Regions from separate parts of the Mus musculus genome. Here region 2 is reported to be linked to region 1. The links are microRNA targets in miRTarBase. Many come from high-throughput screens and were not tested one by one. Region 1 holds a microRNA gene; the other region holds the end of a gene's coding sequence.

What was found. Region 1 holds the annotated microRNA mmu-miR-466e-5p (GAUGUGUGUGUACAUGUACAUA, at 1,733-1,754, opposite strand). A microRNA usually pairs through its seed, bases 2 to 8, with sites in the 3' UTR of a target mRNA and lowers its output. Matches are read on the target gene's strand: a 7mer-m8 pairs with bases 2 to 8, a 7mer-A1 pairs with bases 2 to 7 and ends in A, and an 8mer does both.
Region 2: miRTarBase lists Sh2d2a as a target of mmu-miR-466e-5p. Seed matches in the 3' UTR shown: 7mer-m8 at 3,582-3,588, 7mer-m8 at 3,202-3,208, 7mer-m8 at 1,511-1,517, 8mer at 1,488-1,495, 7mer-m8 at 1,467-1,473, 7mer-m8 at 1,447-1,453 and 4 more.

Annotation. Positions count from the first base shown.
Region 1 is chr2:10,476,448-10,480,852 of GRCm38, reverse strand. It overlaps Mir466e (microRNA 466e), which reads right to left and starts at 1,765; the gene lies at 1,682-1,765. All of the region lies in intron 10 of Sfmbt2 (Scm-like with four mbt domains 2), which reads right to left. Mir466b-8 (microRNA 466b-8) reads right to left here and starts at 4,225; the gene lies at 4,140-4,225. Mir669a-1 (microRNA 669a-1) reads right to left here and starts at 4,000; the gene lies at 3,904-4,000. It also overlaps Mir669g, Mir669j, Mir467a-2 and Mir669a-4.
Region 2 is chr3:87,851,794-87,856,198 of GRCm38, reverse strand. Sh2d2a (SH2 domain containing 2A) reads right to left here. Exons shown (of 7, transcript NM_021309.3): 6 at 4,324-4,405; 7 at 477-4,132. The coding sequence ends at 3,791. Among named protein-coding and RNA genes, the nearest start is that of Sh2d2a, 7.2 kb to the right of the region's middle.

The sequences.
Region 1 (4,405 bases):
TAACTCTGGCAAGTGGTTTTCATTTGATAAGTGAGATTTTTCCCTATACCATGAATATACACTCAATGAAACTCAAAGCACGCATAAATCAAATGGATGACTGCCATGTGTGTTTGTGTGCACATGTATGTGTCCCTAGTTGTGTGTGTGTGTGTGTATACATATATACATATATATACATATATATATATGCATGTTCATATACGCGCATGTACAGGCATACTTCCCTATACACATAAACACAAACACAGGGAAAATCACATGAATTCCGGGCTGATCTCTAACTCATCATAAAGTTAAACATGAATTTGAACTACTCATCCTCATGATGCTGGCAAGAGTATTCACCTCCTAACTGAGTCATAGCTCGGGCCATTCGTGGGAATATGTTTGCATGTGAGTATATGCATATTCATATACAGAAGTGAATATATACACAACTATACACACATGCACATTCTTGGTGGGCATCACATGAATCGCATACTGAACTCTAACTCATCATGAAGTTAAACATAAATTTGAATTCCTCATCCTCCTGACACTGGCAAGAGTACTCACCTCCTAACTGAGACATAGCTCTGGCCATTCCTATGAATGTGTGTGCATGTGTGTATATGCATATTCATATAGAGAAGTGAATATGCACACAACTATACACACATGCAAATTTTTGATGGGCATAAGATGAATCCCATGCTGGTCATGAACTCATCATGAAATTCAGCACAAATTTGAACTCCTGATCCACCTGACTCTGTCAAGGGATTTCACCTGCTGAGTGAGACCTCTCCCCATTCAGTACTGAGGAATCTTAAAACTCTAAGTCACACGTCATTCAAATGGATCGATGAGTTGCACTGATGTTTGTGTGTGTGTTTCTGTTTGTGTCTGTGTACATGTATATATTTGTGTAGATAGGTACATCCATATACTCAAATCCACACACAATAGAAACAGATACAGATAGGGATACATAGGGGCATCACATGAATCCCAGGCATATCTTAAAGTCATCATGAAGTAAAGCATGAATTTGAACTCCTGATCCACAATCTTTCACACCTGGTGAGTAAAACCATTCACTGTCCCAAACTGCATAATCTAAAACTTTAAGTCACATATCATTCAAACGTATAAATGAATGCAATTTTTTTCTCTGTGTCTGTACTTGCATATACACGTGTGTTTATATTTTGTATATCATGTCAACAGAGGCAATGCATATACAAGTAAACACACATGCACATACATGGGTGGCCTCACATGAATACCAGGATGATCTCTAACTGAATTAAGCATGAATTTGCAATCCTTATCCTCCTGACTTTGTCAATCTTTTACACCTGGTGGGTGAGACCATTCAATGTCCCCTATTGCATAATCGCTAAAACTCTACATCACTTATCATTCAAAGGGATTGGCGAATGCCATTCCTGTGTCTGTGTATGTGTGCTTGCGTTTATACGTGTGTGTGTATGTTATGTATATTCAAATATAGACATGAACATGCACACACAACTATACACACATGCACATACATGGAGGAATCACAGGCTGATCTCTCATGAGGATAAGTATGAATTTGAACTCCTGATACCCTTAACTCTAGCAAGCATTTTCACTCTAAGTCACTTATCACTCAAATGGATTGATGAGTGCCATTCCCATGTGTCTGTGTGCTCATATGTGTCTTATGTGTGCGTGTATGTATATGTATATCATATTCACATATGTACATGTACACACACATCAACACATACACACATACATAGGGGCAATCACATGAATGCCAGGATGACCTCTAACACATCATGCCTTTACCATGAACTTGCACTCCTGATCTTCCCGACTCTACCAAGGGTTTCCCGTGGTTTGTGAGACCTCACCCTGGCCCAGTCATACATAACCTCCAAAGCAGTAGGTCACATATCATTCAAATGGATCCGTGAGTGCCATTCCCGCATGTCTGTGTGCATGTGTGTGTAGGTGTGTGTATGTATATGCATAAAATATACACGCATATACATGCAGGCACTTACGCACACAGGCACATACATAGGGGCCATCACATTATTCCAGGATGATCTCTAACTGCTCATGAAGTTAAGCATAAAATTGAACTCCTGATCTTCCTGACACTGCCAATTGTTTACACCTGGTGAGAGAGAATATTCACTGTCCCTCTACTTTATAATCAGCAAAATTCTAAGACATATATCATTCAAATGGATCAATGAGTGTCATTCTTATGTGTGTGAGTGTGCATGCCTGTATGTGTGAATACATTTGTATGTGTGTGTATTTACAGGGATGATCATATATACACATGTACGTGCACACACAATTATATGCAAATGTACATAACTAGGGTCGATCCCACAAATCCAGGGTGATCTCTAACTCATCATGAAGTTAAGCATGAATTTGACCTCCTGAGACTCCTAACTCTGGCAAACAGTTTTCATTTGATAAGTGAGATTTTTCCCTATACCATGAATATAAACTCAATGAAACTCTAAGCACGTATAAATCAAATGGATGACTGCCATGTGTGTTTGTGTGCACATGTATGTGTCCCTAGTTGTGTGTGTGTGTATATATATATATATGTATGTATATATATATATATATATATATATATATGCATGTTCATATACGTGCATGTACAGGCATACTTCCCTATACACATAAACACAAACACAGGGAAAATCTCATGAATTCCGGGCTGATCTCTAACTCATCAAAAAGTTAAACATGAATTTGAACTGCTCATCCTCATGATGCTGGCAAGAGTATTCACCTCCTAACTGAGTCATAGCTCGGGCCATTCGTGGGAGTATGTTTGCATGTGAGTATATGCATATTCATATACAAAAGTGAATATGTACACAACTATACACACATGCACATTCTTGGTGGACATCACATGAATCGCATGCTGAACTCTAACTCATCATGAAGTTAAACATGATTTTGAACTCCTCATCCTCCTGACACTGGCAAGAGTGCTCACCTCCTAACTGAGACATAGCTCTGGCCATTCCTATGAATGTGTGTGCATGTGTGTATATGCATATTCATATAGAGAAGTGAATATGCACACAACTATACACACATGCACATTTTTGGTGGGCATAAGATGAATCCCATGCTGGTCATGAACTCATCATGAAATTCAGCACGAATTTGAACTCCTGATCCAACTGACTCTGTCAAGGGATTTCACCTGCTGAGTGAGACCTCTCCCCATTCAGTACTGAGGAATCTTAAAACTCTAAGTCACACGTCATTCAAATGGATCGATGAGTTGCACTGATGTTTGTGTGTGTGTTTCTGTTTGTGTCTGTGTACATGTATATATTTGTGTAGATAGGTACATCCATATACTCAAATCCACACACAATAGAAACAGATACAGATAGGGATACATAGGGGGCATCACATGAATCCCAGGCATATCTCTAAGTCATCATGTAGTAAAGCATGCATTTGAACTCCTGATCCACAATCTTTCACACCTGGTGAGTAAAACCATTCACTGTCCCACTACTGCATAATCTTGAAAACTTTAAGTCACATATCATTCAAACGTATAAATGAATGCAATTTTTCCTGTGTGTGTGTGCTTGCAGATACACGTGTGTTTATGTTATGTATATCATGTCAACACATACAATGCACATACAAGTAAGCACACATGCACATAAATGGGTTGCATGACATTAATACCAAGATGTCTCCAAATGAAGTTAAGCATGAATTTGCAATCCTTATCCTCCTGACTTTGTCAATCTTTTACACCTGGTGAGTGAGGCCATTCAATGCCCCCTATTGCATAATCTCTAAAACTCTACATCACTTATCATTCAAAGGGATTGGCGAATGCCATTCCTGTGTCTGTGTATGTGTGCTTGCGTTTATACGTGTGTGTGTATGTTATGTATATTCAAATATAGACATGAACATGCACACACAACTATACACACATGCACATACATGGAGGAATCACAAGCTGATCTCTCATGAGGATAAGTATGAATTTGAACTCCTGATACTCTTAACTCTAGCAAGCATTTTCACTCTAAGTCACTTATCACTCAAATGGATTGATGAGTGCCATTCCCATGTGTCTGTGTGCTCATATGTGTCTTATGTGTGCGTGTATGTATATGTATATCATATTCACATATGTACATGTACACACACATCAACACATACACACATACATAGGGGCAATCACATGAATGCCAGGATGACCTCTAACTCATCATGCCTTTACCACGAACTTGCACTCCTGATCTTCCCGACTCTACCAAGGGTTTCCTGTGGTTTGTGAGACCTCACCCTGGCCCAGTCATACATAACCTCCAAAGCAGTAGGTCACATATCATTCAAATGGACC
Region 2 (4,405 bases), not on the chromosome of region 1:
CGTCCTCCAGGCAGGCACAAGGGACAATACTGAAACTTTCTGCTGTATTCCCCCAAGGAGCAGGGAATGGCAGTCGTGAGGATCAGTCACTGGCGAAAGGTTGGGTCTGGAGGACAGCTGGATCTACAGTGCGAACAGTCTGACTGTTGGCAGATGTGAGAGCAGGCTGGGCCAGAGTGCCTGGGCCGGGAAGAAGAAGTGCTATCTTAGTTTCTCTTCCTGTTGATGGGATAAAATATTCTGACAAAAGCATCAGCTGGGAGAGAGGGTTTTTATTTTTTGTTTTTTTCCTAGCTCACACTTTAAGCATGTCACGGCAGGGAAGTCAAGGCAACAGGAGAGTGTCTCAGGGTTTTACTGCAGTGAACAGATACCATGACCAAGGCAACTCTTACAAAGACAACATTTTATTGGGGCTGACTTACAGGTTCAGAGGGCCAGTCCATTATTTTCGTTTGTTTTGTTTTTTTGTTTTTGAGACAGGACACAAAAAGCACATGTTACCTTAAATGAGCTGTAGTAAATCGGGGTAACAGCTGTGTGGGGAGCTACACAGAGAGAGAAACAGTGGCAAAGGCTACCTCCAGAGACTCGGGTGACTCTGGAGCCAGTAGGGCCATGCATGGCCAGCCTCAGAAAACCTCCAGTGAGATGAAAGTGGGACCTAGCACAGACTGCTCCCGGGCTAGGACTCTAGAGGAGTTTAGCTCTAGGGCAGGAAGCCAGTCCTGAAGTGAGTCTGGGCAGAGAAGGGAGAAAGGCCCATAGAATGGGGCAGGGAGGGGGATGGGCTCCTGAGTGAGGTAAGGACTTAAGCTGCCTCCTCTGAGGGCTCACAGATTGCTAAGGCACCCTTCTCCCAAGTCCTGAGTTGCCCATCTCTATAGGCACCCACTCCTGTGCCCGGGCTGCCCACCCAGCCTACCCCAGCTAAGGGAGAAGCACTTGGCAAAGGGAGTCCGTGTCCTTGTCCTCATGGTTTTTAACTTTCAGCCAAAAGATCAATAACTTTGCCTAAGTGTCTTTGAACCTCTAGACCCCTATGAGCGACAGTGGGAGAGAGAAAAGGGCTGGGGAGGAGCTGGAAGGACAGAGATTCCCGAGGAGGGAGATTGTTGCTAATGATTTATTAGCCAGACAAGGACCAACAAACAAATCCTAACATCTGTTCTCACCAAAACATTTCTCAGACAACAGCAGCCATTGGATCGGGGCCCAGATGCGAAGGCTCAGAGTGCCAAGGCTTCCTAAAGTCCAGTTTCTTCAGGAGGAAAAACCAGGGCACAGGAGGCAGGATGGCTTCCCTAGTACATACAGTTCCTTGCCTTGGTTCCTGGTGACTTTCAGAAGGGAGCAGTGTGAGTGTCTGTGTGTGTGTGTGTATGCAAGTATGCATGTGTGTGTGTATGTGTTTATGTGTGTGTATGCATGTATGTGTGTATGTGCATGTGTGTGTGTATGCAAGCATGTGTGTGTATTCGTGTGTGTATGTGTGTGTGTGTATGCATGCATGTGTGTGTGTGTGTGTGTGTGTGTGTGTGTGTGTGTGTGTGTGTGTGTGGTGTGTGTGTTGCTATGAGGAAGCACAGATCCCACATTTGGTCCTCTGACTTCCAGGCTGCTTTGGAGCAAGGAAGGCAGACTTGTTAAGGGGACAGGGAAAGGTGGAGTGCAGGGAGGTCCCAGTGCAGAACTCTGGAGAGCAACCAGCTTCTTAGCTGAGGAAATCTCTCTGTCCCTTGTGGAGAAGTGAGGATTCAGAGGACGGATGGGGAATGCTGAGAGGGGTTTCAATCCTTGACCTTGGCCCAGGCTTTCTCCTTCTCTGGCTTGTTTCTTGATTTGCATAATGAGAGGACTGGACTTAATTGATAGGAGAGAAAGAAACGCTGCTCACCCTTCCCGCACCCACAGCAGACGCCACTCATCCGTCACCTGCTCCTTTCTGCTGAGCTTAGATCTGACCTTAATATCCTTCCAATGCTGCATGCCAGGCAGCCGAGACCAATGGATTGGAGCTGGCACGCGGGGTGACACCTCCTCGCCATCCGTGTAGCAGATGAAGCTCTGCTCACCTGTAGTCTATCCCACCTGCCTTCCCTAAGAGAGGACCCAGGGGTCTGTGAAGGTCTCAGGACACAAAATGCCCCAAGCTACCCTCCCAGATCAGACTTACCCCTAATAAGGCCTGATGGGGAGCCATGAGTGCTCTCTGTCTAGAAAGGGCAAGCCTCTAGGGCCAGGGGGGCTCATGATGAAGGACAGGGTCTTACTCTGCCACACAGTCCTCAGAATGCAGCTCTGGACCATCTGTCCTCTGCAGACAGAAGGACAGCTCTGGGTCATACCCTCTGCCTCTTTGGCAGAGCTACAGTCTCTAGGAGAAGGTATATGGTCTTAACCCTTTGGCCTCCAGAGGGGATTTAGGTTCCCGTCCATCCCTCTGCCTCTCCTCTTCTCCCTTCCCCCTCCCTCCCTGAGGCAGTTGCTTCATGCCAAGCACTGGGCCAGTACTTTAGAGATAGCTGAGCATCCCCCAGGGCTGCCTCTAGTGAATCAGGCTCTGCAGGAAGGGGAGATAGAAGAAAAAAAGAGCAATGGGAGTCTGGGCTGAGCAGGGGCCTGGCAAGGGTGTGTTGGGAGGTCAGGCCAGGGAAGGCTTTGCAAGGGGAAGGGCTTGTGGTCTTGAGTGGGGTTAAGGGTTGCCAGGCAGCAGGAGGGCGGTCTTGTAGGGATTGCTGTGGGCAGGACTGACTTGGTAGCCTTTGGTGAGTTTGGAGAAATATGGTGTGGGTGCTTGAAGTGGGGCTGACGAAGTGGGACCTCGCCTCAGTATGGAAGAGCTGGAGGACCAGGCAGCTGACTCACAGAGCCCATTTTGGCTTCCTCGGGGAAGAACAGGTCAGAGCTGACAAGCCTGGTACTAGGAAGGCAGTTAAGCCACTCAGTGAAATCATGGTGTGGCTCAGACATAGAGTGCTTGTCTAGCACGTACCAAGCCCCAAGTTTGATCCCACATACTGTAGGAGCACACAGTGGTAATTCCAGAACTTGGGAGGTAGAGGCAACTGACATTATTGACAGACAGAGACTGAAGCAAAGGGGATGGAGATGTTTAGGGACCCCACATTTCTGGCTGGATAGCTGGGTGCTGGGGGTTAATCAATCAGGGTGTGGAACACAGGACACTGTGCGTGGTGCATGTGTGTGTGTGTGTGTGCGCGCGCGCGCTCATGCGCGCGCCCACACAGGGTGCGAGTGAGGTTGGTTCAATTGATGTTGGAGTGGCTTTGGAACCCTGGCAGAGCCTGGATGGACCCAGGGTTAAGAAGGCTGGTAGGGTACAGGTGAGCTGGGCTGGTGAGGGCCAAGCAGGGACCTTTGGTGGCAGCAGAGAGGAAGCCTGAAGTAGGACCTGACGCAGGTACAAGGGAAAGAGTCTGACTCCTTTAATAGTAATACCACATTCAGACATGACTGAAACTCTGTGGGGAAACTGTGAGGGTGAGCACACAGTGTGGCAGCCTCCTCCTCTGAGCCCACTGGCAGTGACGCTCTCCAGGGAGCTGGGTCAGTGTCACATGTGTGTGAGGAAGGCCTGACCAATGAGAGGCAGCCTGGGATGGAGAGTGGTTGAAGGAAACCTGAAGTAGGGGCAGGTAGGGCTTGACAAAGCTGAGTCCACGTGAATGTCCAGGAAGAGCCTTAGGCCTGGAGCTGGGCAAAGGTTTTCGGCAGCGTGGAACACTCCATCTCGCTTCAGCCTGCTGACCTTCACCTTGCCCGATATTCAGGAGGGGCTCCCTCTTTCTGCTCGACTCCTTGAGCTTATCTTTCCCTGTACCTCCCTTACCTGGCCTCTTGAGATAGGCCTGGACCAGCACTTTCGGAGGATGGGGTGTCCAATGGGCGCCGTTCCCGATGGCCCTTCCACCTCAGCATAGATATTACTAGGAGCGTCCCCAGGGCTGCCCCGCCCCATGGCATAGAAGGCTATGGGTTCATCAGGCTCCTGGTAGATGGGGTTAATGGGTGGGGCCTGATGCAGTCGTGAAGCAGGACTTGTATAGACTTCAGGAGGAAGCTGAGGCTTGGCGGGGATGGGCGGCCTGGGTCTGGATGCCTGGGATGTCTAGGGGGAGAAGGCAAGACCAGGGAAGAAAATTAATGAGAACCGTGGAGACAGGGTCTAAGCCCAGGCCCATCTCAGCCTGAGCCTCTACCTATGACAGCCTGGCTTCTTCCTCTGTCCTGTGTCCCCTTCTCCAGGCCCTGACACCCCAACACCCCCCATCCCACAGGTTGAGTTGACCAATATAGTACCGCCTTCTGTTGGGAGGCCCATACTTTCTCTGTGTGTCCTGAGGCCTGGGCCTGGCCCTGTTGGAGGAGCAGGCTGAGCTGG